Oryctolagus cuniculus: one gene and its partners. The protein of the gene in region 5 interacts with the protein of the main gene of each other region in a pairwise test. Links are inferred from orthologs where the notes say so. Each region holds a gene or a part of one and is shown on either strand. Other genes may lie near its edges. The genes, in order: SMARCD1, ZBTB16, MFAP1, FAM50B, LDOC1, FAM107A and CTNNBL1.

Region 1 (3,500 bases), on a different chromosome or scaffold from region 5:
CAGTTCTAATAATGTCTTAACTTGGTTCCCTACTCTAATCACACTGGCCTGGTTTCTCCAGACTGACGGCTGCGCTGAAGGCAGAGCCAGGCCTTGCACCGCAAATCCCCGATGCCACAGAGCACGGACACTAAGTCAGCACCCGACAGCGTGCCTCTGCTTCCCCACTTCACTGTAACCTGGACCCTGGGGCGTGCTCAAGCAAACCTGGGTGCACTCTCTCTTCCCTGCCTGGCTCTTCCACCAGGTGCTCTGCCATAAAGCAGACGAGTGCCTCGCAGATCTGAGGCCCGCGGATCAGCCCCGGCTTCCTTACCTTGAGGTCTCGGCACTGGGACTGAAGCCAGTCATTGATGAAGCCCTGGGGGTCTCTGGCAAAGCTTAGCATGAACTCTCGCTGCGTCTTCAGCTGGTTGATGGTTTCTATCGTCTCATGGATCTGAAAGCGAGATGGAAGCTATACCAGTTTCAAGCTGGACAAACAGAATGAAGCGGCACCTGATGTCTCTGTGTGTCACTCCTGGCCTAGATCCAGCTCAGAGCCAGCGCCACTGCACAGGGTGCCAACTGCTCCGGCCTTGGGGCTCCCCAGCAGGTGATATGCACCTGTTTCTGTCTCTCTGTTTACCTCCTGTGAGAGAAGTTTCCATTCTCGACTCCTCAATACATACCATGGGCACAGCTGCAAAGAATACTTAATCCAAGCAGAAACAGGCGCCAAACAACTGTGAGGTGGAAAAGGAGGCGCGCAGGGCTGGCTCAGCAGGTGTCTGGTTCCCAGCTCTCTCCTTGTTCTGCACACTCTTCCTGGCAATGTCTGTCTTGTACGTCTTCTGTGTACACCGACAGGGGAACAGCTCCCCAGTCAGCAGTCCATTTCCTGAACGCCAAGCAGATTGGCTACTGTCTCGACATTGCAAGGCATCTGACGCTCACCACATCCAAAACGAAGTTCATGGCCCTCTCCCCGCACCTGCTTCTCCTCCTCTGCTCCCAGCATTGCCCATCACTGCCACCAGCCTGGGAGTCCTCTCAATGCCTCCCCCTCAGCACTCCACCCCTCACTCCCATCTAAACAGTGGCCAAATCCCTTGATTGCACTTGAGGCCCCGTCAAGCCTGTCGACCCGTTTCCAGCCTCACTGGGCACGCCTTATGTTGAAAGCCCCAATAGCTCACACACGGATTACTGTACCAGCCTCACTGGGGCTTCCGGCGGCTTCCAGATCTGCCCCTCTTTCTACTTCCTGCCAGTGATCGCTCCAGATGCAACAGCGCCCCCACCTCCACTGGGGATGCTCGCCCCAGCAGACTCCCGGCCTCCTGTCCAGGACGACGCGCAAACCAGTTCTCCCTGCACCAAAGCTTCATGATCAGGCTCCTGTTTCCCTGCCCAGCACCCTGTGCTGTGTCTAGAGCCCTAACAGCTTGTTCTTCTTGAACACGCCGGGCTCTCTCTCACTTCTGGAAGTCTATAGAGCCCACTCCATCTTTCTGGACTGCCCTCTGCCCCTAAGGTCCCCGGCCCTGCTACCCTTCCACCCCTGTGGGAACTTCCATGTGGTCGTTCAGGGTTTACTAGTGCATCAGCTCTCCCTGTTCTCCCCTGGATCCCCAGTGACTTCACTGTCCGGGACTCTGTCTACCGTTAGTAGGAGAATGGAGACAGCAGCGACAGCAGCAGGATTTCCCACTCTTGTTCTTACACGCCGGAAACACACTCATGTCTTTACACACACGATTTCATTGACTCCGAATGGCAACCTCCGAGGAACAGGTGTTAATGGTCCCCACTTCACAGATCAGAAAGACGGAGGCTTAATGCTATTAAAAGGGGCAGCCAGAGTCCAGAGGAGGGGATTCATGGGGAGGTTGACTCCAATCAGCACCAACCACGGCACCTGACAGACGCTGGCTGTCCACGTATTGGGGAACCCTCAAAAAGATCCCAGGAAACGCGCATGCAAAAGCACTCCGATGCATCTCCGAATTTCCTCACGTCACAACAGATCTACCTCTCAATTCCGTCCTTCATGAAGTGCCCTTTATTCAGAATGAATACCAAGCAGCAAAAGGTGGCCTGCTGGCGACAGCCACGCTATCTAGGCGGGGCCCCTACCTTGTTGTCCAGGGTCGCGATCTCCTGCTGGCTGGCAGTGGACAGCAGGAAAGAATTCATCTGAGTCTTCAAGGTGTCATCCACCTCCACGTCAATGTCGTAACAGGCTGTCTTCTTCTGATCATTCGGGTCAACACTGGGGAGGGAAGCAAACGGCCTGGTGAGGGGTTTGTCCCAAGATCTGACAACACAGCATCAGGGACAGGAAAAGGAGCCGACTCCAAAAGGGCCTGAGGACTTTCAGGTGTGACAGAACCTTCTCGCCTTTCATTGCAATGGCAGCTTCCCAGTGTACACAGGTGCCCAAAGTCTTCAAACTATACTTCAAATGGCTACAGTTTACGAAATATAAATTACTCCTCGACAGGGCTGGCTTTTTTACAAAGTCAAAGGTAAGGAACGGGTAGTTGGCACAGTGATTAAGACAACACTTGGGGGTGGCCAGTATTGTGGCACAACAGGTAAGGATGCTGCCCGCATCCCATAGGAGCGCTGGTTTGAGTCCCAGCTGTTCTGCTTCTGATCCAGTTCCCTGCTACTGCCTGGGAGAGCAGAAGATGGCCCAAGAACCTGGGCCCCGTACCACCCACGTGGGAGACCCGGAAGAAGCTCTTGGCTCCAGGCCTCAGACTGACCCAGTTCCAGCTGGCGAGGCCATTTGGGGAACGAACCAGCAGACGGAAGACATCTCTCCCTCACTCCCTGTTCTCTGTAACTCCACCTTTGAAACAAACACAACTTTAAAAAAAAAAAAAAAAAAACCCTCTTATTTATTTTGAAAGTTAGAGTCACAGAGGGAGGGAGACAGAAAGAGACCTTTTATCAGCTGGCTCAGTCCTCAGATGACTGCAACAGCCAGCACTGGGCTAGGCTGGAGCCAGGAGCTTCACCTGGGTCTCCACATAGGTAGCAGGGGCCCAAACACTTGGGTCATCTTTCTCAGAACACTGGCAGGGAGCTGGATCGGAAGTGGGGCAGCCGGGACTCGAATCAGCGTCCATATGAGATGCTGGTGTCACAGGAGGTAGCTTTATCCACCTAGCCACAGCGCCAGCCCCAACCTTTGACGCTGAAAATAATGTGTACACACACACACATCCCTAACTTTAAGCACGGGAATACAGGACAGACCAGCTCCAGTGCCAACTTATAGGGTATAGGAACTGCTACCAGGTGAGTGATGGTTCAGGCCCCTGACTGGATAGAATCTGCAGCAAAGCGAGGAAGGCAAGACGATAACTACAGAGAGACGCTGTCTAACTACAGAGAGACGCTGTCTAACTACAGAGAAATGCTGCTCTGAGGAGGAAGTACTCTTCTTCACTCCGTATCTGCCTAGAAGTGCCTCGCTCTCTAACTTGGGAACAAGAAAAGTGAACAGA
Region 2 (3,500 bases), on a different chromosome or scaffold from region 5:
AGGAGCAGGCTAAGGTGTGGCCTTGTACCCCTAGCTTCTTAGTCCCTGCCCCCCCCCCCCAGTTCTAGTCGGGGGCGGGGGGGGGGGCAGAACAGGGATAGTGTTGGAGGGACTGACTTCTCCTGTCCCCACCCCCCACATCCATGGTCCTGCTGCTGAACAGGGAGTGGGGGCACTGTGACCTGAGGAGCCCTCGCCAGGTACGTCCTTTTCTTTACTTAGGAAGGGAAGAGGCCAAGTCTTTTAAGAGTCCAGACCAGCAAGACAGGGGGCTGGGGCTATGCTGAGCATTTCTGTAGCCACACGTGTGACATCACAATAAAGTAAAAAGTGTAGTGGGCCAGCAGCATGAGACACACCATAGCCGGGCGGTGCAGAGCTGGAGGGACGGAGGCCTCCGGCACCAGGCCTACGCCCCACTGCTGTGCCTGCTTCACTCTCCTTGCCCCGTCTTGCCCCCCCACCATCCTGCAGGTGAGAAGCCCTTTGAGTGCAAGCTGTGCCACCAGCGCTCCCGGGACTACTCGGCCATGATCAAGCACCTGCGCACGCACAACGGCGCCTCGCCCTACCAGTGCACCATCTGCACGGAGTACTGCCCCAGCCTCTCCTCCATGCAGAAGCACATGAAGGGCCACAAGCCCGAGGAGATCCCGCCCGACTGGAGGATAGAGAAGACGTACCTCTACCTGTGCTACGTGTGAGGAGGCGCCCGGGGCCGGGGGAGGAGCGCGGGACGACGTGGAGGAAGGACTGTGCGCAAAGACACAAACGGAAAAGGAAGAAAGGAGAGAAGAGAAAGAAATCGAAAAGCTGGTGGGCCTTGGGTTCTCCCTGGGGCTCTGGAGCCTGGGATGCTACGCCACTGCCCCTTCCCCCTTCTTTCCTGGGCCTGATTTTCTTGGGAGGGTAGGGCGGGGGTGGTTTTGCTCACTCAGATGGAGGCAGCCTTTCCCTCTCTCTCTACCCAGAGCCGCCTCTTGTGTCCAGAAGTGGAGGCGGGGGACAGGGGAGAGGGCCTCTGGTCCCAGTCTGCCTGCCCTCGTCCCACTGCCTCTGAAGCCGAGGGAGGGGAGCAGCGGACACAAGGCTGAGCTGGCGGGGCAGGGCTGGGCCTCGGTCGACACTCATGATGGCAGCTCTGGCTTCCCAGTGGCTGATGGGACAGGGGAAGAGCCCCTGGCTCGTCCCAGCACTCAACTTTCACCTGTTGCTTTCCCCGCCTGCCACCCCTGAGCATCCCCTCCTGGCCTCCAAGAACCCCGAGGCTCTGGGCTGAGCTCCTCATGCCCTGCGGGCAGTCAGGACCTGGGGGCACTCCGGGCTCCTCCTGGCTCTGACTCTCGGAGGCACTGTCTTCCTTCGCCTGTGTCCTGGTTGAGGAGCTGCCTCCTGCCTTTGCTTTTGAGAACACAGAACGGAAGGGATGGAATAGCCTAGCCCAGCCAGTCAAGCCCCTTCGTCCATCACAAGGGAGATTCCCGCCAAGCTGCTTTTTGCTTCCAAAATGGAAAATCGTAACCACCGAGTGTATAGTTCCCCACCATGCAAACAGTCCCTCCAGCCCTCTTCAGTTGCTAGGGGAAAGAGTCCAAGAAAGACTCATTGTCCAGGGGGAGCCATGGGGGTGTCTTTGTCCAGATGGGCCCTACACCTGCGCACGGGAACAGACGCTCCGCCTGAACTGTTAGGCCGTATCAGGGACCCCCTCAACGTGGGGACCGGGGTCCCCCAGACAAGGTGAGGCCCTGGGGACGTCCGGGTGCAGACAGCAGCACAGAAGCCCAGCTCCAGGGCCCCTCAGTCCACAGGGTTGGGGTTGGGGTAGAGGGAGGAGTGGAAAGTGTTTTGGCCTTGTGTCATGTTTTGCTTCTTTTCTGTGTCCCCTGTCAGCACATTGTACTTGAATTACCTCAGTTTTTTGTGACCTCATGAGCTTTTTTCACCCCCTGCTTTTTTTTTTTTTTTTTTTTTTTTGGGTTGGGGGGTTGGAGGAACGGGGAGGGTATCCTTTTCTGTTTCTTGTGTAAATCAATAGTTTATAGACTTCAGCTGGCCTGGGCCTCCCAGCCACAAGGCACTGTGTGGAGGAGTCAAGTGCTCAGGATCTGAATGGGAGGGTGGGCGCAGGGGATGGTGCCCCGGGGTCTCGCTGCCCCCACAGGGGCCTCCATCCTAGGCTCTTAAAGCCTCAGTGCCCTGTAGGAGATCAGCCCAAAACACTCAGGAGAAAATCCCACCTTTCTTTCCACCACTCTGCTGGGCCAGCCAGCTGGGAGGGCTCGCCCGCCTGTGTCCATGGCCACTGCCACAGAGCCTCTAGGTTTCTGTGGCTGGTCTGGGGACGAGCCAGCTTTTAGTTCTGTTGTGTTGGGGTGGAGGTGTGGTTTCTCCAAAAGCTACCTCTTGTGTTCATCCAAGTGTTCTTTTGTCCCCCGTTGGCTGCTCTGCTCCCCGCCTTTGCCCCGCCCCCTCGGAGTGTGGGAAAGCACGCTTGGGATCTCCACGTCGGCTTTGGGGTGATGCTCTGTTACATCTCATGCTCTCTGTGTAAGGAGTTTGACTTGTGTTCTTTTTCTTTCCTTTCTCTTTCTGAGAAAGTTGTGGCTGCGTTTGGATCTTAGGTTTTAGGAAGTGGTTTGGGGGGAGCAGGGTGGTGAAGGAGCACATGGAGGTCAGAGGGGTGGGTGCTGCTGAGACCACCCTCCCCCGCCCCACCCCTCCTGTCTTGTCTATGGAATCTGAAGGCCTTAAAAACCGTATGGGAGGAGCAGTGGACCTGGGGGAGGGGGGCTGTGCCACTAGACTGGGTTAGGCAGGTAAGGTAGGGAGTAACTATGACTTTGTGCTTTGAAAAGGACGAGAGATTCACCTGTCATGTTGAGAATGTGAAAAGAGCAGGATCATTGGGGGAGGGGCCGGGTAAGAAACCACTGTGCACTCCTCCCTCCTTCATGGGCCTTCAAGGCATCTGGAAAAAAAACAGTATTTTTAATGGCAAGATGTCATTCAGCATTGGAGGGGAAATTAAAAAAATAACCCCACTATTCCTTAGAACTAGCTGGCCTTTCTCCCCTACCCTTCCCACTCAGCCTGGCCTCCCCCTGCCCCTGGTCACAGAAGCTGAGAGGGGTGAGCTACTCTTTACAAATTGTAATATTTTTGTAATATTTGTTCTTCCATCAGTTCTACAGGACCTGGCCCTTCCTTTTGTAATGTGAATAGGGAAAACAAAATCCACACCACCACCACAGTGTCCCTGTGTATGCACGTGTGCGTGTGCTTTGTGTGTGTGGCCAATCACGCAGAGGTGCCTCGATCTGGTCTTGCAGCATTAGATGGTACTAGGTCTGCACCTGCCTGCCTCTCCCGGTTTGGAGGTCGGGGGGTGGGGGGGATCGTTTCTGAGGGATGCTGGACAAGCCCATCCCTGTTCTTGCTGCACAGTCTGCTCTGCTCCCACCAAGCCCCAAGTCACCCCGAGGAGGGAGGCTCCAGTC
Region 3 (4,293 bases), on a different chromosome or scaffold from region 5:
AGGTGATTTGGCCCTGCATTCACATGGGAGACCAGGAGGAAGCACCTGGCTCCTGGCTTCAGATCAGCACAGCGTGCTGGCCGTAGCAGCCATTTGGGGGGCAAACCGATGGAAGGAAGACCTCTCTCTCTCTCTCTCTCTCACTGTCTAACTCTGCCTGTCAAAAAAAAATTACTGTCCAGCGCCGGGCTCACTTGGCTAATCCTCCGCCTGCGGCGCAAGCATCCCAGGTTCTAGTCCTAGTTGGGGTGCCGTATTCTATCCTGGTTGCTCCTCTTCCAGTCCAGCTCTCTGCTTTGGCCCAGGAGGGCAGTGGAGGATGGCTCGAAGTGCTCAGGCCCTGCACCCGCATGGGAGACCAGGAGGAAGCACCTGGCTCCTGGCTTCGGCCACAACACACCAGTCGTGGTGGCCATTTGGAGGGTGAAGCAATGGAAAGGAAGACCTTTCTCTGTTTCTCATTGTCTAACTCTGCCTGTCAAAAAAAAATAAATTACTGGTGAAAGCAAACTACCACAGCATTTCTGAACTTCAAGATTTTTCTCAGATAGTCCCTTCTGTATCCCACCGCAGCAGTTCTGAAGTCCTTTCTTTGGTGAAATGTTAACTTCAAATTAGTCATTTTTTTGCACAACTTATAAATTGGGGCTGCTTTTGTTATGATTCTAACAGTGTTCAAGACTTCCTAAATAAAAAATCTAGCTTCTTGAAGAAAAGAGCTTTTTAGCCATGTTCCATACTCCTTTCAGAACCCTAAGTATGGTAAACATAAATACTCAATCATAACTAGGACTTAAATACAAACACAGCAGATAGGGACCCAGGAACTGTGGTGTGAGATCGGTATCCTACTTGCTAAACCAAACGCCCATCTGGAATTAGGTATTTGAATTAGACGGTTACCAGAAACAAAGAATTTAAGAGCCTTAAAGTTGAATTGCAGGATCTGATATCGTTTGCCAGGTCCCTTAGGAATTGTGTGTTTGTCTCTCTCTCTGGCCTAAATCACCTAAATACCCTGCCACGGTCCACCCAAGCCTCATCAACTCGTTAATCAGCTCTACAAGATTAGCAAACTCTAGTTCTTCCAAGTTTTCACAAATTTAGACAGTCCTTCACTAGCTCCATCACTATCCCGTCGTCCTTGGCTTCAAACAAGGATAAGGTGAAACTTTTTAATCTCAAACCCGCTATACAGCTAACACCTCTCAATTTCCCGACAGACGAGGTTTCCAAATCCCGCGAGATTAAGTATGCGCGGTCTCTACGAACATGCGCAATAACAGACGCGACCTGTAGGCGCTCAGAAGTCCTCCAGTATCCCACAATCCTCTCTTCATGCTTTTCCGGGTTATATAGCTCGGCCGCAACTAGTTTCAGTCGCGTAGCAGCTTCCGGTGGACCTAGGCTGGAAGGAGGTTTTCTTCTCGCCTTGTTGGTGTTTACTGTTTAGGAGCACTCTGATTTAGGGAATCACCGCCGCAGTCGTCAACATGTCGGTACCGAGCGCACTCATGAAGCAGCCGCCCATTCAGTCTACGGCCGGGGCCGTCCCGGTTCGCAACGAGAAAGGTACTGTTTTCACCCGTCTTCCAGTCGGATCTTACCTCTGCCTGCCGTGCGTCCTGCAAACCTCCCTTGGGCTTCCCATCCCAGCCCCACCGACCCTTAAGTCGGTTGCCAGTTTCTTCCACCTTCCCACCGTAAAATCTCACCCAGTGCGATAGCGGGGCTTGGGGAGGGAGGTGCGGGAGGATCGACAGGCATCTAATATTTCTGAGACATTTCTGCTCTTACGTGCAGTAAACTCTCTGCTTTTGGGCTCCACAAATTCCTTAGGATGAGAATTATGAAAGGCTCATATGTGGTGAATCTGTTAGCGGAGCGTTGTCTTAGCGATCTGTTTATGGTGTTTTTATAACACATCAGTTATTGTAGTAAACGCATAATCTCCTTGATGTGGAACCGTCATCCTCAACTTTGTATCCATTTCAACCATTAGAGTGAATATGTTTAATAAATTGAACACAATGCTGTGTAAGACAGTGCCCCTAACCTTAAGGAATGCATACTCAAGGAGATTTATTTGAAAGGAAGAGAGAGGCGCCGGCGCTGTGGTGCAGCGGGTTGACACCCTAGCCTGTAGTGCCAGCGTCCCATGTGAGCGCCGGTTCGAGACCCGGCAGCTCCACTTCCAATCCAGCTCTCTGCTGAGGATGGCCCAAGTGGGAGACCTGGAGGAAGCTCCTGGCTCCTGGCTTCGGAGCGACGCAGCTCTGGCCGTTGCGGCCAATTGGGGAGTGAACCATTGGATGGCAGACATCTTTCTTTCTCTGCCTCTGCCTCTGCCTCTCTTCTCTCTGTGTAACTCTTTCGAATAAATAAATAAACCTTTAAGGGGGAGGGGGCGGCACCCCGGCTCACTAGGCTAATCCTCAGCCTGCGGCGCCGGCACTCCAGGTTCTAGTCCCGGTTGCTCCTCTTCCAGTCCAGCTCTCTGCTGTGGCACGGGAAGGCAGTGGAGGATGGCCCAAGTGCTTGGGCCCTGCATCTACATGAGAGACCAGGAGGAAGCTCCTGGTTCCAGATTGGCGCAGTGCACCGGCCGTAGCAGCCATTTGGGCGTGAACCAACAGAAGGAAGACCTTTCTCTCTGTCTCTCTCACTGTCTAATTTTGTCTGTCAAAAAAAAAAAAAAAAAAGAGAGAGAGAGACTCCCAAAATTGCTGCGATGGCTCCTGAAGCCAAGAGCCTGGAACTCCATCCAGGAGGTCTCCCATATGGGTGGCAGGGTCCCAAGTACTTGGGCCATCTTCCACTGCTTTCCCAGGTGTATTAGCAGGGAATTGGATTAGAAGTGGAGCAGTCCAGCCCTCTATATGACGTGAGATGCCACTGGCACAAGCAGCAGCTTAACCCACTGCACCACCATGCCGTGTGTTCATGTGTTTTATTAGCTCTCCGTTTTCTTTTCTGTGAATCACCTCTTTCTGTCAGTCATTTTCTGTTTGCTGGAGGGTTTTTGGTTTTGTATGTGTGTGCGTGTTTTATTTACTTCAAAGGCAGACCGAGAGAGAGAGAGAGAGAGAGAGAGAGAGAGAGATTGATTGATTGATTGATTGATTCACTCCTCAGATTCCTGAAACAGCCAGGGCTGGGCCAGGCTGAAGTTAGGAGCCAGGAGCTCCATCAGAGTCTCCCATGCAATTGACAGGAATCCAAGTACTTGAGCCATCACCGGCTGCCTCCCAGGTTGTGCATTACCAGGAAACTGGATCAAAAGTGGAGTTGGGACTTGACCCCAGGCACTTCATTATGGGATGTCGGTGTCCCAAGTGACAACTTAACTGCCTACATCACAGCACCCACCCATTTGCTCTTTTTTTTTTTAAGGATTTATTTATTTATTTGAAAGGCAGAGAGGCAGACAAAGAGGTCTCCCATCTGCTAGTTCACTCCCCAAATGGCTGCAACAGCCAGAGCTGGGCCGATATGAAGCCAAGAGCCAGGAGCTTCCTCCAGGTCTTCTATGTGAGTGCAGGGGCCCAACAGCTTGGGCCATCTTCTACTGCTTTCCTGGGGCATAGCAGAAAGCTGGATCAGAAGTGGAGCAGCCGAGACTCAAACTTGCACCCATATGGGATTCCAGCACACAGGCAGTGGCTTTACTTGCTATACTATAGCACTTGACCCTATTTGCTCTTTTTTTAGATATAACATTCCAGCTCTATAATATTCTTTTCTCTATTTTTTTGGCTTGTCTTTTAACTTTTAATTATCAAGTTCTCAGTTACAAAGACATTTTTAATTTAAGTATTGTCCAGTTTATCAACTTTTATGGTTTGTACTTTTTAAATATATTGTTCAAGAAATTGTTCCCTAGGGGTAGGTGATGTGGCATGGCAGTTGAATCGCTGTTTGGGACATTGATGTTCCAGTTTGAGTGCACAGTTCAAGTCTCTGCTAATTCGCTTCCAGTCCAGCTTGCTGCTAATGTGCCTGAGAGGCAGCAGCAAATGGATCAAGTACTTGGGCCCCAGCCACCCATGTGGGAGACCAAGTGGAGTTCCTGGCTCCTAGCTTTAGCCTGCCCCAGCCCCGGCTGTTGTGGCCATTTAGGGATTAAACCAATGTATGGAGGATCTCTTTCATCTCTCCCTCTGTCACTTTGCCTTTCAAATCAATTTTTAAACATTTTTTATTTTATTTATTTAAAAGGCAGAGTTGCAGGTGGTCGAGAGTGGGGAAGGTAGAGAGATCTTCCATCTGCTGGTTCACTCACCAAATGACCAC
Region 4 (4,138 bases), on a different chromosome or scaffold from region 5:
GCCACAGCGCGCTGGCCGCGGTAGCCATTGGAGGGTGAATCAACGGCAAAGGAAGCCCTTTCTCTCTCTCTCTCTCACTGTCCACTCTGCCTGTCAAATAAGAAAAAGAAAAAGAAATAATTTACATCCTCAGAAAGTTGGGAATCTCTGTGTGAGGTCTGACTCAAACTGGCTGCAGTAAAATATTAGTGACTGGCGGGGGCTGGCACCGGGGGCTCACTTGGTTGATCCTCCCCTGCGGCGCCAGCATCCCATATGGGCACCAGTTCTAGTCCCAGTTGCTCCTCTTCCAGTCCAGCTTTCTGATGTGGCTGGGAAGGCAGTGGAGGATGGCCCAAGTGCTTGGCCCTGCACCTGCATGGGAGACCAGGAGGAAGCACCTGGCTCCTGGCTTTGGATTGGCTCAGCGCCGGCCGTGGCGGCCATTTGGGGATTGAACCGATGGAAGGAAGACCTCTCTCTTTCTCTCTCTCTCTCTCTCTCTCCCACTGTCAAATAAAAAAGAAAAAATAGCGACTGGCCCGTCTGCAGAGGGCAAGGTCACATGGGCTGTAGATGCGGCTGGCTTCGGAAGCGCAATGCCCTCACATTCCTGCTTCCTGCTTCCTGGCCGGGCGCACGCTCCCCGGGCCACGCACTGCTGTCTGCCATGCTCCAGGGGCTGCCAGCTCTGGCTCCCCGCTCTGGAGTTCAGTCCCCCGTCTCTCACCACATCTCTCCTTGCTCCGTCCAGGCCCTGTGACCAGGTCAGTGGTGAATGAGAATCTAAAGGGCCGACACTGGAGTGGGAGACGGAGTGAGCCTGGGATGCCTGGGGCCAGGTGGAAGCTCACCCAAACAGGAATTGGCGTCGGCAGGAGGAAGGGAGGTGGACGCTGGGTGCTCACATTAGCATGTGCTCACCACAGGTGGTCCTCTTTCATGGTTGCAGGAACCCTGGGACGGTAGTCGCTTACCAACTGATTTATTTAATTCAAACAGTGAGAGACAGTAGGAGAGACAGAAAGAGACCTTCCAACTGCTGGCTCACTCCTTAAATGGCTGCAACAGCTACAGTCGGGTCAGGGTGAAGACCCAAGGACTTGGACCATCATCCACTGCTTCCCAGGAGCGGTAGCAGGAGGCTGGATGAGGAGCAGCCAGGACTTGAACCAGAGCTCCCATATAGCATGCCAGTGTTGCGAGCATTGGCTTAGCCGGCTGTTGCCACAATCCCAGCGCCCAGTGTCCTTATTTCATAGACGGGGATACTAAAGCCTTCAAGAGCTGTAGGACTGACCCTCAGACACTCCCCTAGCAGGTGGCAAAGCTCAAGTCCAGATCTCCTGGCTACATTCTCTACTGTTCCCAGTATTGTAAATTACCACCTATGGGCTTAAAACCACCACCGGCTGGGTATAGGAGTTCTACAGCCTCCTTGGTATCACTAGGAAGCCAAGGAAAGATGTGAGCCACAGGAGGCTGCGGCTCCTGCTGGGGCGGGGACACCGCGATGGTTTCCACCACAGCGGCTCTGAAAGACTGATAGTGAAGGGCCTGTTCTCCCCAGCCCGGACTCCCCAAAGCAGAGCACGGGCCAGGAGCTTTTACTCACGGGCAGTTTATTTGGGAATGTGTTGCAGGGAGCAGGAGGGTTTGCTGGGGGGATGAGGCGGGAGGGTGAGAAGGAAAGCCAGGGCCAGCTAGGGAGCCTCCTCTGTAGATGACTGCTTGATCCCACAGGGACTTTCACGAATTTGAAATGTGTCTCCGAGCGGTTGTGTTGGGGGCTGGGGGGAGGGGAAGCATTTATGTAAGAGCTCACGGCCCCAGTGGGTGATGGTCTTCCCACAGGATGTCGTTAACCCCACGTGAGTGAGTGTCCAGGGGGTTGCCTCGGGCATCCTGGCCAGCCACTGTACCGGAGCAGCCAGAGACAGGAAGTGAGGGCACTCGGGTGTGATGCTGGTTAGACAGCTGCTCAGGAAAGAGAGAGGGCCCGAGGACAGAATTTGAGAGACAGAAAAAGCGATCGAGAGCCTCCTTTGACCAGTTCTCTTCCCTAAATGCCCACCATGGCCCAATGGCGGGGGCTGGGCCAGGCTGACGGTAGGAGCCAGGAACCCAGTCTGGGTCTCCCATCTGGGCGGCTGGGACCCAAGAACTTGGGCCATCACCGCTGCCTCCCAGGGTGCTCTGTAGCAGGAAGTGGACATGAGCGGAGCTCAGACGGAAACCCAGGCACTTCTGTAGCGATGCGCGTGTGCCTCCTGCCAGCCGCGAGTCTGCCCTGGGATCAGAGGGCCGCATCACCAGACCACATCAGTGGTCGCCTAGAACACTAGACGTCTCCCATACGCAGTCCGTGATGAGCTAATATTTAAAAAGCGATGCACACACGAGCCCTAAGGCCTGTTTTCCTAGTTCAGAGCTGCAATGTCACAACCAGCTGCTAAAACTGCCCTCCTAGTACCCCCACTCAACCACTGAGGGGCCCCGAAAACACAGCAAGGCTAGAAGGCTCCGTTCCTCCCCACCGCCCTAAGCTAAGAAACCAGACCCTTGCTTGCCGGTCAGCGTCCTTCCGGCTAGCGTTTGCTGTAGCTGAGCAGCTGGGCGTCCTGCTACTGCCCCAGCTGGACAGCAGGCAGTCTGATTTCCTTACCGTTGGGTGAGCAGAGCAGGCGATTATCCCTTCCCAGTGCCTGTCCCGATAAGGCTCCCTCTAACTGACAGCCATGGCAGGCAAAACACATACAACTGCCGTGGCAGTCACTGACCAATCAGCAGGAGGCCTGAGCCGTTCCGTCTGAGGTCGCTGTAACTGCCGCCGGGGTTGACCAGTTGCCTCCGCCCTGCCCCCAGCTCCACGCATCCTTTTGTCTCTCCCTTGTTCTCTGTGAGGTTTTCCTGGGCTGCTCCTGCACGGATGCTCTTTCCTTCTGTGAGGTTAATTAGGGCTCTGTGTCCAGAATGTTACTGCAGAGGCTCATGTGACCAGCACCACTTGGGATACCTGCACTTTTTTGGCAATGAGAGATAGAGATTAGAGACAGAGGTGATAGAGAGTGCTCCTATCCACTGTTCACTTCCTAACAGTGAGGCAGAGTGAAGCCTGGGATGCCTGGGGCAAGGTGAAAGTTCACTGAAACAAGGATTGGTGTCTGGGCCTGGTGCTGTGGAGGAGCGGGTAAAGCCGCCGCCTGCAGCGCCGGCATCCCATATGGGCGCCAGTTCGAGTCCTGGCTGCTCCACTTCCGATCCAGCTCTCTGCTGTGGCCTGGGAAAGCAGTGGAAGATGGCCCAAGTCCTTGAGACCCTGCACCCCTGTGGGAGCCCTGGAAGAAGCTCCTGGCTCCAGACTGGCATTTCCTCAGGACAGCAAAGTAGCCAGAAGGGAAGGTGACTGCCCCTGAGAACACAGGCCCTCCAGCTCTCCCGGGCCCTGTGACGCCTGCCAGCCCTGGGCCCATCTTCACCACGGTGCAGGTGTGGGTTGCAGCAGTGAGGCACAGACACAGACATCCCCGGGACAGTGGGTGGGGACACAGTGGGACGCTGCCCCAGATGCAGAAGGCTTCATATGACTGTAAAACCGAGACACGGGTGCGCCCTGAGTAGCTGAATTCTGGGGAAACGGGGAACAAAGCAGGACTCTGCACTGCTTAGAATCTTCAAAGAGCGCATCTCACGCAACCTTCTGCTTCCGTTGTCTGGTTTGTAACACCAACCGCTTGCTATTCGTAGTAGACTCTTCTTTAACTCACTCCCCAAAGAGAGGGCAGCTGGCAAAACTTTTTAGAGGTTTATTTATTTATTTGAAAGGTGGAGTGAAAGCGAGCGAGTGAGAGAAATCTTCTATCCACTGGGTCACTCCCACATGGCTGCAACGGCTGGGGTTGGGCTAGGCTGAAGACAGGAGCCAGGAGCTTCAGCTGTGTCTCCCATGCAGGTGCAGAGACCCAAGTACTTGAACCATCTCCTGCTGCCTTCCGAGGTGCATTAGCAGGGAGCTGGGTGGGAAGCAGAGCAGCCTGGACTTGAACTGGCGCTCCAGGATGGGACGCGAGCATTGCAGGTGGTGGCTCCACCCACTGGGCCACAATGCCGGCCCCCAAATTTCTTGAATGAATGGATAAGTGAGAAAGAAAAGGCAAAA
Region 5 (3,425 bases):
CAGGCAATAAGGGTTAAGGGACAGAGCTTCCCTGACAGTGTTAAGGAACCCAAAAGACAAGCAGGGCTCACACTGGGGGCTTCACAAAGTTCACTGAAAATGTACATTATTTTAGTTCCATTTTCCCATGGACTTCATGAAGCCCCTTCATGCATGTGTCCAGGTTTATACGCTTGCTGTGTCACCATGATTAGTAATAGCATCCCCTTTTACTCTCAAAAGTGTCCTGGTTTGGGATGATGAGCCACATGCTCAGCCACCCCTTACCCATGCCACCCTGGAGGCCCCAGAAGACATTCCGTTTGGGCTTTAAGCTATGCCTTGGTAAGGGAAGCATTGGAATATTTTTAAAGCCCCGTGGAAACTGTCCTCTGTAGCCTAGAGATGACAATAGGGACCACTGGGATTGAATTGGACATCAATGGGAATAGCAGGAGTCAGTGTGAGCATGGCAGATGCCAGTGATAGCACTTAACCATTAAAAGACAATCATTTCTCACTTTTTGTAGTGCTTGATATTTATTGAAAATAATGCCAACTTTTTTTTTCCAGGTAGTATTGAGGAGCTGAGCTTAGTGCGTTTTTGCTTTTTGTTTGTTTTGTTTTTAGAAACATATGTTCAACCACACACATTGGTGGGGCTGCTGCAATTATGAAAGAAAAACGACAGTTGTGCATTAGAGAAAAGAGACATCAACAATTTGGTTGCCAGGCACACCAGGTCCCCGCAGCACTCAGGCTGGGTAGAGGACCCTAGGAGTAGGTAGGGAACTAACCAGGTTGAAAAACAGCCCCTTGAGGGGCCGATGAGCTGTCCAAATCAATGTCCGAAAAGGTGTAGCCAAGTCAGAAGTCTTCTGTGTTGGTCCTTGTCTCTAAAAGCGATGATCTGTCAGAGGCTTGCAGTGGGCGATGGCGCAGTGGTAGCATGAGTCTCTGTGCAGGTGTAGGCCTGGCAGCGAGGCAGGTGGCAGCAGCAGTGTGATCTGAGCAGTTTGTAACAGGGGCCTGGCCTATAACTGGGGCTTATGACACAGTTCAGATGAGGTGGGGAGAGGTCCTGGGGCTAGGCAAATCAGATGACCGGCTTCAGGGTGAGGCCCCTGCCCAGCCCCAGCAGCAGGTAGCTGGAGCACTACTCCTGGAACAAAGACAAGCACTTCGGGGGTTGGGGAGGGGAGAACAGGAAGGCAAGGGGAGTGCAGCAGCTCCGGAGGTCGGGTGGGATGGGGTGGGGGTGGAGGAGAGGGAGAAGTGGCTGCGTGCAGGGCTCTCCCCTCATAGGCCCCCAGCGGCTCGGGGCCTAGTAATCATCCTCTTCATAGTCGTCGTCGTCGTCTTCGTCATCATCCCAGCCGAAACACTGCTTCATCTCATCCAGGAAGGCCCGGTAATCGCCTAGGATGGGGCTATCCATCTCGATGTAGGGCACCACCCACTCCTCGGCTTCCCCGGTCAGGAGGCTGATTAGGAATGCCACCTTCATGGCGTCGTTGCAGAACCGGTTCTCGTTCACGAGCATGTAAGACGCCGTCTGCACAATAAACTCGGGGAGCCGGGAGCTCTCGCCGTTAAACGTTTCAGGGAAGGGCACCGGGCAGCTCGGCGGACGTACCTGGCGCAGCAGGCTGGCCCTCTCGCAAACCAGCAGCCGCAGCTGTTCCATGAGCTGGCTGTTCTCGATGCTCAGGGCGCGGTGCCTCACCAGCAGTGCGTGCAGCAGTAACACAAGCTCGTCCACCATCTCGAACAGCTTGAAAGGTCTGGGCTCGCTCGAGTAGGCTCCGCTGGGCCAAGATGCACACAAGAGGCCTTGCAGGAAGTGCGTGTCCTATAAAGTGCTGTGGCCAGGGGCGGGGGACGGCGAGCGTGGGGTCCCGGCGGCTGCGCAAGCTCCGCCCCCGAGGCCACTCAGGCAGGCGGCGCGCCGGCGCAGCAAGGTGCGGGCGGGGCCGGGGAAGAGGCCAGGACGCAGTGGGGGCGTGGCCTGGCTGCCGCGAACCGTTGGAGGGGACTTGAGACCAGGGAGGGAGTGGCCGGGGAGGGAAGCGCAGGGTCGCGCAGTGTCGCGGAGAGCAGACAAGTGCTGGCTCGCTAGGAGAACTGGTAAAGGCTGTGAAATGGGGCCGAGCCCCGGATGTGAGGCCTGCGTTAGCCTAGGGCCTGGCGGGCACTGAGCGCCATGTCGCAGACAGCCGACTCGCACAATTCACTGTTTCGCGGGTCTGCAAACGCCAGTTTCTTGGGTGCGATGTTTTGTTGATAGGATTAATCGCCTTTTCAAACCTCCCCTAGAGAAGTACTGACGCTGCTGACTGCCCTGCTGCAATCACCGATCCTTTCAGAGTCATAAAGACTCTTAAGGGGTCCGGGCTTTCGTCGCAAAGCGGTATTTGAACAGGGACTTTTATTTAGAAACCATTACTAAGTGTTGAAAAAATTCTGAATAGAGGCTTATAACAAGTTCTGCAAAGTCACCATCTGATAAGCGCTTAAGGTGACCTCCCTGTGTGGCTCTGTTTCACGTCCTGATATCAGAGCCTGTGGCAATGGTTGTTATTCTTAACAATGAGGAAACCATGAAGACATTTGTGCTCTTTAATGTTTTTTTCTATTTGAATGTGAATATTCAAATAGTTTTTGACAACGAATGCAGCCCTCTTTGTCACTTCTACCATTGCCAGACCGCTAAAAGCAATCACTTTTAGCTTGCTTTCTTCTCTTCCTACACTCTGTTCTCTATAGAGTAGCTGTGGGAATCCTTTAGCGCAGAAGTCAGATCCCTTCCCTCCCTGGCTCAAAACCCTCCAATAGTTTCCCCTGTCACTTAGAATAAAAAACAAAGTCTTGACCATGCCCTATAAGGAAGGCCCTGCCTACTCTCCTAGGTCTCCCATTCCCAGTTCTGCTCTAATCACACCCCACCCCCTGCTGATTCTTACACATATCAGCTAATTCCAGCCTCAAGGCCTTTGTACTTTTTATCCCTCTGAATTGCAAAGCTCTTCCCAGTTAGAGGCCTGGCTCCTCCCCTTACATTCCTACAGAACTTTCCTGAGCACTCCGGTTCTCAGAGCGCCCTGTTCTGTGCCACCCAGTCTCTAACCCCTTACCTTATATGTTTCAATACAGAACATTTATCATCATAATCCTGGCCAGCACATTGTAGAGCACTTTGTTCATCATCTGCCTCCACTGTAGAATGTAAGTTGGTGCAGAGAGAGGCTTTGTTTGCTAGCTGCTTTATCTCTAGTGCCTAGAAGCCAGCCTGGCCCAGAGAAAGGTCTCCATTAATGTTTGGTGAATGATAGCATCTCAAAATGCAAATGTTGAGATGAAAACTAGAAATGGTGGCTGCACAAAGTGTCCAAAAGGATTCTTCAAATTATGTAGTGCAGCTCTGATGATGAAATCAGTCATAATAC
Region 6 (3,500 bases), on a different chromosome or scaffold from region 5:
CCCACGTCCCACGTCAGAGCGCCTGGGTTCAAGCCCCAGCCTTGGCTCCTGACTCCAGCTTCCTGCTAAAGCAGACCCTGGGAGGTGGCAGTGATGCTCAAGTAGCTGGATTCCTGCCACCAGCGGCGGGCCGGGGTGGCGGTGGGGGGCTGGACTGAGTCCCTGGATCCCAGCTTTGTACAACGCCCACCCCCCAGATATTGCAGACACTTGGGGAGGGAGTTGGCAACTTTTTTTTTAATTTCTACAAAAACATTTCCTCTCCTTCCCACCTTCTCTCTTGCTTTTGGACATTCCAAGGTTAAGGAACCAGCTTGTAGAAGAGGGAACCCTTAGGTCTGAATTTCAACTACACTCACCACTTTCAAACTGCCATGGTAGAAGTGAGGCCATCAAGTAGCCAGCCGGTTGCATCAAAGATGCCAGCCATCCCTTTGTAACGAGTGGCACAGCCCCTGCCTCGCACAGCCTCCTCTTTGGTCCACACAAAGTGAAAAGCTAGACATTCCCACCACAGCATTTGGAACTACAGATGGAGAAATTAGGGTTAGTATTTTCACCCCTGCATGTATCCAATCATCTTTAACAAGTACCTATCACTTTTTATCTATCTTTCCTTTTTCTGTTTTTCAAGTTCATTGAAACACACAAACTCACACCTAATTCCCTTTCTAGTCGAAGACACTTTTTTTGTTTTTTTTGCAATCAAGCCAGAAAACATATGCAGGTCCCAACCCATTTGCTGTAACCCAGGCTCACTTGCTTCCCTTCCCCAGGTATCTCACAAACACTATCACCGATCCTTACAAGCCCATGCATCGGTCCAATCACTGCCAAGATCAGGATAGCGAGGACCCCCTGACATGAAACCCCCACCCTTCAACGGTGCCTGCTGGGCACAGGCGGGATTGGGGGCTCAGCTCTAACCCCTGTGCCCATCTCCACAGCCTCCATGTACTCCGAGATCCAGCGGGAGCGGGCGGACATTGGGGGCCTGATGGCCCGGCCAGATTACAGAGAGTGGAACCCGGAGCTCATCAAGCCCAAGAAGCTGTTGAACCCAGTGAAGGCCTCGCGGAGCCACCAGGAGCTGCACCGAGAGCTGCTCATGAACCACAGGAGGTGCGGGTGGAGTTGGGCTGCCCTGGCCCGGCTGGAACAGGTGCCCCTCGGGGAAGGCAGCCCTGGTCTCATCCTGGGCTCCTGGAGGCCGAGGAGGGCTGGGGGTGCCCTCCGTGGTCAGCACGGACACTGCCAAGATCCAGTCTGCAGAGGGTCCCCAAAGCCCTGTACACCCAGCCATCCACTTCACGCCAGCACCCCAGGGGCGTCCACCAGGAGCACAACCAGAAATGAACCCAGTTCCCACACTTGCAGAGCAGATGCAGGCACAAGCAGGCAGGGATGGTGTTTCATAAATTTTATTCCAGAGGCAGAAAGAGGGGGATCGTCTGTCTACTGATTCACTCTCCAAATGCCCTCAACATCCAGGGCTGAGCCAGGCCAAAACCAGGAACCAGGAATTCAATCCAGGTCTCCCACGTGGGTGATGGACTCAAGTACTTAAGCTATCACCGGCTAGCTTCCAGGCTGCACATTAGCAGGAGGGGAGCCAGGACTCAAAACCCAGCCACTCCCATACGGGGTGCCTGCAACCTCAATAGTGACTTCATCACTGCACGCAAAGTGGGTCTGGAAGCCCAGTGGAGGAACCTGGGAGGGGTCCAAGGTGACTGCCTGCAAGAGTGGATGCCTCGGCTAAGGCTCAAGTGGGGACGGGGTGAGCCAGGCTAGGACGTGGGCGTTGCATGGCAGAGCGGGAAGCATGTGCAAATGAAGCCACACAAGCAGCTGGGTGTGGCTGGGGCAGAGACTGAGAGGGGCAGCCAGGAGTAGAGCTGCAGAGTGACGAAGGCATAAGCAGTGGAGGCACACCATCTGGTCAGCTTTGGCTGAGGTAGGGGAACGGACCCGCCACACTGGAGGCGGCAAGCAGGAAGCACAAAAACCCAGTATGATGAAGAGGGGCTCCAGGGACAAACAGGCTGTGGCTGGGCTGGAACTCCACAACCGATAGGCGAGGGTGGACAGGGCGCAGCAGAACCGGGAGGAAGGCGGCATCGCCGCCTTTGTCGCTCCCTCTGCTGGCCGGTTCTGGTATTGGAGCCGGTTGCGATTTCCCTTCCAGTTTTCAGGAGTGACCAACATCCTTTTGTGCCTGGGTAGTTTGGGGTTTTCTATTCACTCGGTGTTATTACAATAGCATTTTCTCTGATTGGCTTTCAGAGGCATCGCATTTAATATCAAAAATGTCACCACAATGAAAAGCAGAAGCTTAAAGATGAACCAGGGGAAATATGTGCAATATTTTACAATATTTGCAATAGATTTTATTGGAAAAAATTTATATGCAGAAAAAATTAATAAATTCTGATCTCTTAAAAATCCACAAGGAAAAGATAAGTGAGCAAGGGGCACAGCGCTGTGACATAGTAGGCTAAGCCTCCACCTACAGCACCAGCATCACATACGGGTGCCGGTTCGTGTCCTGGCTGCTCCATTGCTGGTCCAGCTCTCTGCTTATGGCCTGGGAAAGCAGTACAAGATGACCCAAAGGCTTGGGCCCCTGCAGCCACATTGGAGACCTGGAAGAGCCCCCTGACTCCTGGATTAAGATAGACTCAACTCCAGCTGTTGCAGCCATTTGGGGAGTGATTCAGTGGATGGAATACCTCTGTCTCTCCCCCTCCAACTCTACCTCTCAAATAATAATTTTAAAAAAATAAAAAACAAAGATAGATGAGCAGAAAGCAGATACAACTAATTCACACAAAAGGAAATGCAAGGAGTTACTAAACTTATCAAAGCCTGTTCTATGTAAAGACACAAATGAAAACCAGACATTTACCTATTTGAAAGGCAGACAGAGGGAGAAAAGATCTTCCATCTGCTGGTTTATTCCTCAAATGCCTGCAACAGGTCTGGGCCAGGCTAAAGCCAGGAGACTAGACTTCATCCGGATCTCCCAGTGGGGAGGGTGGGTGGCAGGGATCCAAGAACTTGGATCATCTTCCACTGCTCTCTCAGGCACATTAGCAGGAAGCTGCACCAGAAGTGGAGCAGCCAAGACTCGCTCCAGCAGCCTATATGAGGTACCATTGTTCCAAGTGGCAGCCTACCCCATTGTGCCACGATGCAGGACCCCAGGTATTATTTCTTAGCTACCAGATTTGCAAAGGTAAAAGAGATTGGCTGGTGGCAGAGGGGAGAAGCAGAAGCTCTTGTGCGCTGTTGACAGAGCGGACAGGCTTCTAAGGGACAGACAGAAATAGGAATCCAAGATCTTCCCTAAGAACCTGATGCAAGAACACCACCTTTAGAAACTCATCCAGAGAACCTAAGCAGGAGCGTGCGTTCGGCTCAGAAGTTGGGATGCCCACAACTCTGGCTCTTGACTCCAGCTTCCTGCTAACGAAAACCCTGGGAGATGGCCACTGATG
Region 7 (4,125 bases), on a different chromosome or scaffold from region 5:
TGACCACCCCGATGTGTAGCAGTCACTGGTTCACAGTGTGGAAACACTCCCAAACGTCCTGAAAATAGAGCCGTATTGTGTGAGCCTTCTTACACCAGCTGGCCCTGCATATCATACATTAGAACACAGGGCTGCTCGTGTCCAGGTCTGTTCTGCCTCAGTGAGGAGAAAGGTCACCCGAAGCAAACTCGGTTCAAAGCAGAGTGTACAGACGAGCCTTAAAAAACAAACCAATCACAGAACTGCCTTCCCATGCCTGTGAGCACACAATCCAGTGTCTCCCAAGGCGCACAAGGCCCTGGCCTGGGCTTTGGAGACACACAACCCCCACGATCCTTCTCTCAAACAGCCTTCGCTCCAGGACACAGAGGCTGACGGACAAGAACCAAGCAGCCAAACGTTGAGTACAAAATTACAGACTGAGACACAGACCGTGGAACAGGCCCCAGGGAGGATAGGGACCGGGGAGCCGCTGCCACTTGGAGTGTGGTGAGTTGAGGAAGCCCACTCTCAGAAGGCGACACTTGGTATCAGATGGACCAGTGAGTTGGATGAGGCGTGGCGCTACCAGCCAGGCAGAAGAGAGGATTTGAAGAATGAAATGAATTTCTGTGCAGCTTGAGACAGTGGGATGGGATTATAGATATGAATGTGAAGGGCAGGGGCTTATGGGGAGGTTTAATTCCCTGGGTGGAGTCTGGAAGACAGAGTCTCAGAAGATGAGATGCACTCTTTGATTGTCTTCCAGTGACGGGCAGTTTCTCCTCCAGAAAACCCGTCTGCACCACTTGGATCAGCTCCCAGCGGCCTTGCCTGGATGATCAGAAGCTTGGGAGGAATCCACGACCACCCCCAGGTGCGGTGGCAGTCCTGGCTGTAGGCCCTGGCCCCTCACCTTTGGAGCTAGCCCTGCCCATCGGAAATACACATGAGACCCACAGATGTAAAAATCTTGCAGCCACGTTGAAGGAGTCAAAAGATACGAGAGAGATTAATTTTCTCATCTATTTTATTTGGCCCGAACATTTCGACGTGTCATCAGTCTAAGTCTTGGAAACCCCGTGTGCATTCTGGCTGGATTTCAAGCGCGCGATAGCTACTCTGTGGCTGCGTGGAACATGGTGCTGGCCTATGCCGTTCTGAGCCTCAGTTTCCTTACCTGGATGAAATCGCCTGGACCACCGCAGGGCTTGTGAGAGCACACGTGAGGCCACACCACCCCGCCCTACACAGAGAGGGAGCGCATTAAATCCCGGCTCCCGCCGCCCCTTCTCTCCCCACGCCTCCCTCCTCCAAGTCTCCGCCCCCTTCCCCGCCCCTTTCAGGCTCCAGGCGGAAGCCGTACGGTCACCACTGCGGCGCGCTTTACGGTAGCGCTGCCTTTTTCCGCAGTGTGGCTGCTCGCCTGCCGCACGCACTTTTACCCTATTGGCTCTGCGGGGCCTGGCACAGGGCGCTTTTCGGCAGTGTGGCTGGAAGCGCTGCCGAGCGGCCCGCGGTGTGGGTTTGAGTGGAGGGAACGAGCGGATCGGCTGTTGCCTGGACGGGGAACTATGGACGTGGGCGAACTTCTGAGCTACCAGGTATGAGGGACTGGGGAGACCGGGAGACTGCTCCTCACCGGGTCGGAGATCGCAGGGCCAGAGTGCCTTGGTCTCACCTCGTCTCATCTCCTTCCGGGCCCCCTCGCTTCTGACCTCATCTCACTTCACTCCTGCAAACTTCGCTAGTCCCTTCCTATGCCTGCTCCGGGCCTGAGCCCCTTTGCCTACTCGCACCCCATCCAGAGGTCTGGTTCCCATCGTCCTCTCCCAGCGGCCGCCACCGCCGAGTCGTTGAGTTTGTGCCGCTAGCCTCAGTTTTCTTATCTGCATAGTGGAGACGGTTTCAGCTACTTAGTAGAGTTGTTTGAGGTCTGTGTCAGCTGCTGAGCGTGCAAAGCTGTGCCCGAGTTGGCCGCCCTTGCTGGGAGATGCTCGTAATTCCAGCTTGGGCTGGGCCCCTGGGAAGCAGGAAGGCTCCCTTGTTGGGGTACTTGTGGGAAAACGGGAGGCCGGGCCGAGGTCCCTGAGCAGGTGAGAGCCGGGGTCGGAGCGCAGGTATCCTGACTTCAACCTCGGGATTCATCGCTTCTCTGATTGCCTGAGAGGCTCCGCGTGGGAGGCCGCAGAACCGCCCTGCCCGTCCGGGGTCGGTAGCCGCACGCCCTCCCGACCCCTGACGTGTGGCCAGTCAGAGCTGAGGGGTACTGTGAGTATGAGATCACACTGGGTTCCGAAGACTCAGCGAGAAAAAAGGAGTGTTTTTATAGGATTTTGTGATCACGCTGAGTCTAGCAACCACACTGATTATCGATCATATTGATTAAGTGATCCTATTTTGGATAATGGGTGAAATAAAATACATTTAAAACCAATTTTACTTGTTTCTGTTGACTTTCTAAAAGATGTATTTATTTTTTACTTGAAAGACTGAGCAACAGAATGAAAATGGGAGAGGGAGAGGGAGATAGAGATCTCTGTCTGCTGGTTCACTCCCCAAATGGCAGCAACAAGCTACATCTGGGCCAGGCTGAAGCCAGAAGCCAGGAACTCCATCCTGCTACAGGGGCGGCAGGGACCCAGGTACTTGGGCATCTTCTGCTGCCTTCCCAGGCGCATGAGCCGGGAGCTGGATCAGAAGTGGAATGAGTGCTGTGGTATGGGATGCCATCATGGCAGGCAGTGTTTTAACCTGACTTTTCAATGTGGCCACTAGAAAATTCTAAGGGGCTGGCTCTGGCAGAGTGCGTAAAGCTGCCGCCTGCAGTGCTGTGGCATCCCTTATGGGCACCAGTTCAAGTCCCAGTTGTTCCACTTCACGGGGCCGGCGCTGTGGTGTAGCAGGTTAAGCTGCTGCCTGCAGGTCCAGCATCCCATAAGGGCGCCAGTTTGAGACCTGGCTGCTCCACTTCTTATCCAGCTGCCTATACCCACATGGGAGACCCAGGGAGACCCAGATGAAGCTCCTGCCTCCTGCCTTTGGCCTGGCCAACCGTGGCCGTTGGGCCATTTGGGGAATGGACCAAGGGATGGAAGACACCTTTCTCTCTCACTCCCTCCTTCCTTCCCTCTCCCTCTGCCTTTGCCTTTCTGTGACTCTGACTTTCAAATAAATAGATAAATATTTAAAAAAGTAAGTTCCATATACTGTTGGCCATATTTTCAGTAGGCAGCTCTGCAGTCAAGAATAAGTGATTAAGAGCCATGTGTCTGTAGCCCCAGGTTGTGTGGAATATTTGGCCACTAACTGGCTGCTGTAACCTTGAAGAGACTGTTTAACCTTTCTATTCCTTGTTTTCCTCATCTGTGAGTGGGGCCGATGACGGTACCTTTCATAGGGCTGCTGTTGAGAAATGTAGACCAATGCTTGACAAAGTGTAAATGTTCAATAAATTGCTAATTATTTTCATGCCACTGCCTTAGCCAATATACGGAAACGCCACCCTGGGGGTTCCAGACGTCTGGGGAAAGAACTTGTGGAGCACGCGGGGGTATGCGTAACTCAGAGTTCTTTTAGACAATTGAGTAGACTGTGAAGGAAGGAAGGAAGGAAATAGGAGGGTTGTTGAATGAGTGTTCATTCAGGGTTCCAGCAGGAGGTGTGCCTGTTTGGGAGCGCTGGTGTAAGAAGACAGGGTGTGGGGCCAGCCCCGTGGCTCACTTGGTTAATCCTCCACCTGCGGTGCCGGCATCCCATATGGGCGCCGGGTTCTTGTCCCGGTTGGGGCCCGGGTTCTAGTCCTGGTTGCTCCTCTTCCAGTCCAGCTTTCTGCTGTGGCCCCGGAGGGCCGTGGAGGATGGCCCAAGTGCTTGGGCCCCTGCACCTGCATGGGAGACCGGGAAGAAGCACCTGGCTCCTGGCTTCAGATCAGCGCAGCGCTGGCTGTAGCGGCCATTTGGGGAGTGAACCAACAGAAGGAAGACCTTTCTCTCTGTCTCTCTCTCTCTCTCACTGTCTATAACTCTACCTGTCAAATACATAAATAGAAAACAAAAATTGAAAAAAGTTATTAAAAGAAAACAGGGTGCAGATGGGTGCCTCCTCACACAAGGCATCACGTGTAAGAAAAAGGGGTACAGAACA

Evidence for each region.
Region 1: the proteins of LDOC1 (region 5) and SMARCD1 interact in binary tests that used the Homo sapiens proteins (3 or more experiments, as listed by UniProt). The two-hybrid records come from large-scale screens. The link is inferred for Oryctolagus cuniculus from reciprocal best matches to the Homo sapiens genes LDOC1 and SMARCD1.
Region 2: the proteins of LDOC1 (region 5) and ZBTB16 interact in binary tests that used the Homo sapiens proteins (3 or more experiments, as listed by UniProt). The two-hybrid records come from large-scale screens. The link is inferred for Oryctolagus cuniculus from reciprocal best matches to the Homo sapiens genes LDOC1 and ZBTB16.
Region 3: the proteins of LDOC1 (region 5) and MFAP1 interact in binary tests that used the Homo sapiens proteins (3 or more experiments, as listed by UniProt). The two-hybrid records come from large-scale screens. The link is inferred for Oryctolagus cuniculus from reciprocal best matches to the Homo sapiens genes LDOC1 and MFAP1.
Region 4: the proteins of LDOC1 (region 5) and FAM50B interact in binary tests that used the Homo sapiens proteins (3 or more experiments, as listed by UniProt). The two-hybrid records come from large-scale screens. The link is inferred for Oryctolagus cuniculus from reciprocal best matches to the Homo sapiens genes LDOC1 and FAM50B.
Region 6: the proteins of LDOC1 (region 5) and FAM107A interact in a two-hybrid assay, tested with the Homo sapiens proteins (2 studies listed by BioGRID and IntAct). The two-hybrid records come from large-scale screens. The link is inferred for Oryctolagus cuniculus from reciprocal best matches to the Homo sapiens genes LDOC1 and FAM107A.
Region 7: the proteins of LDOC1 (region 5) and CTNNBL1 interact in binary tests that used the Homo sapiens proteins (3 or more experiments, as listed by UniProt). The two-hybrid records come from large-scale screens. The link is inferred for Oryctolagus cuniculus from reciprocal best matches to the Homo sapiens genes LDOC1 and CTNNBL1.

What each region holds. Positions count from the first base shown.
Region 1 is NC_091442.1:53,425,896-53,429,395, reverse strand, and holds part of SMARCD1 (SWI/SNF-related matrix-associated actin-dependent regulator of chromatin subfamily D member 1), read right to left. Parts: intron 2,255-3,500; coding exon 2,119-2,254; intron 440-2,118; coding exon 317-439; intron 1-316. UniProt on the Homo sapiens protein: Involved in transcriptional activation and repression of select genes by chromatin remodeling (alteration of DNA-nucleosome topology).
Region 2 is NC_091432.1:106,134,240-106,137,739, forward strand, and holds part of ZBTB16 (zinc finger and BTB domain-containing protein 16), read left to right. Parts: intron 1-474; coding exon 475-704; 3' UTR 705-3,500. UniProt on the Homo sapiens protein: Acts as a transcriptional repressor. Transcriptional repression may be mediated through recruitment of histone deacetylases to target promoters. May play a role in myeloid maturation and in the development and/or maintenance of other differentiated tissues.
Region 3 is NC_091443.1:66,702,024-66,706,316, reverse strand, and holds the start of MFAP1 (microfibrillar-associated protein 1), read left to right. Parts: upstream 1-1,493; coding exon 1,494-1,572; intron 1,573-4,293. UniProt on the Homo sapiens protein: Involved in pre-mRNA splicing as a component of the spliceosome.
Region 4 is NC_091436.1:166,404,642-166,408,779, forward strand, and holds the start of FAM50B (protein FAM50B), read right to left. Parts: upstream 2,801-4,138; 5' UTR 2,645-2,800; intron 1-2,644.
Region 5 is NC_091453.1:119,608,574-119,611,998, reverse strand, and holds LDOC1 (protein LDOC1), read right to left. Parts: upstream 2,109-3,425; 5' UTR 1,745-2,108; coding exon 1,304-1,744; 3' UTR 501-1,303; downstream 1-500. UniProt on the Homo sapiens protein: May have an important role in the development and/or progression of some cancers.
Region 6 is NC_091441.1:91,449,216-91,452,715, forward strand, and holds part of FAM107A (actin-associated protein FAM107A), read left to right. Parts: intron 1-300; exon of another isoform or gene 301-546; intron 547-947; coding exon 948-1,122; intron 1,123-3,500. UniProt on the Homo sapiens protein: Stress-inducible actin-binding protein that plays a role in synaptic and cognitive functions by modulating actin filamentous (F-actin) dynamics. Mediates polymerization of globular actin to F-actin. Also binds to, stabilizes and bundles F-actin.
Region 7 is NC_091442.1:20,960,757-20,964,881, reverse strand, and holds the start of CTNNBL1 (beta-catenin-like protein 1), read left to right. Parts: upstream 1-1,325; 5' UTR 1,326-1,553; coding exon 1,554-1,583; intron 1,584-4,125. UniProt on the Homo sapiens protein: Component of the PRP19-CDC5L complex that forms an integral part of the spliceosome and is required for activating pre-mRNA splicing.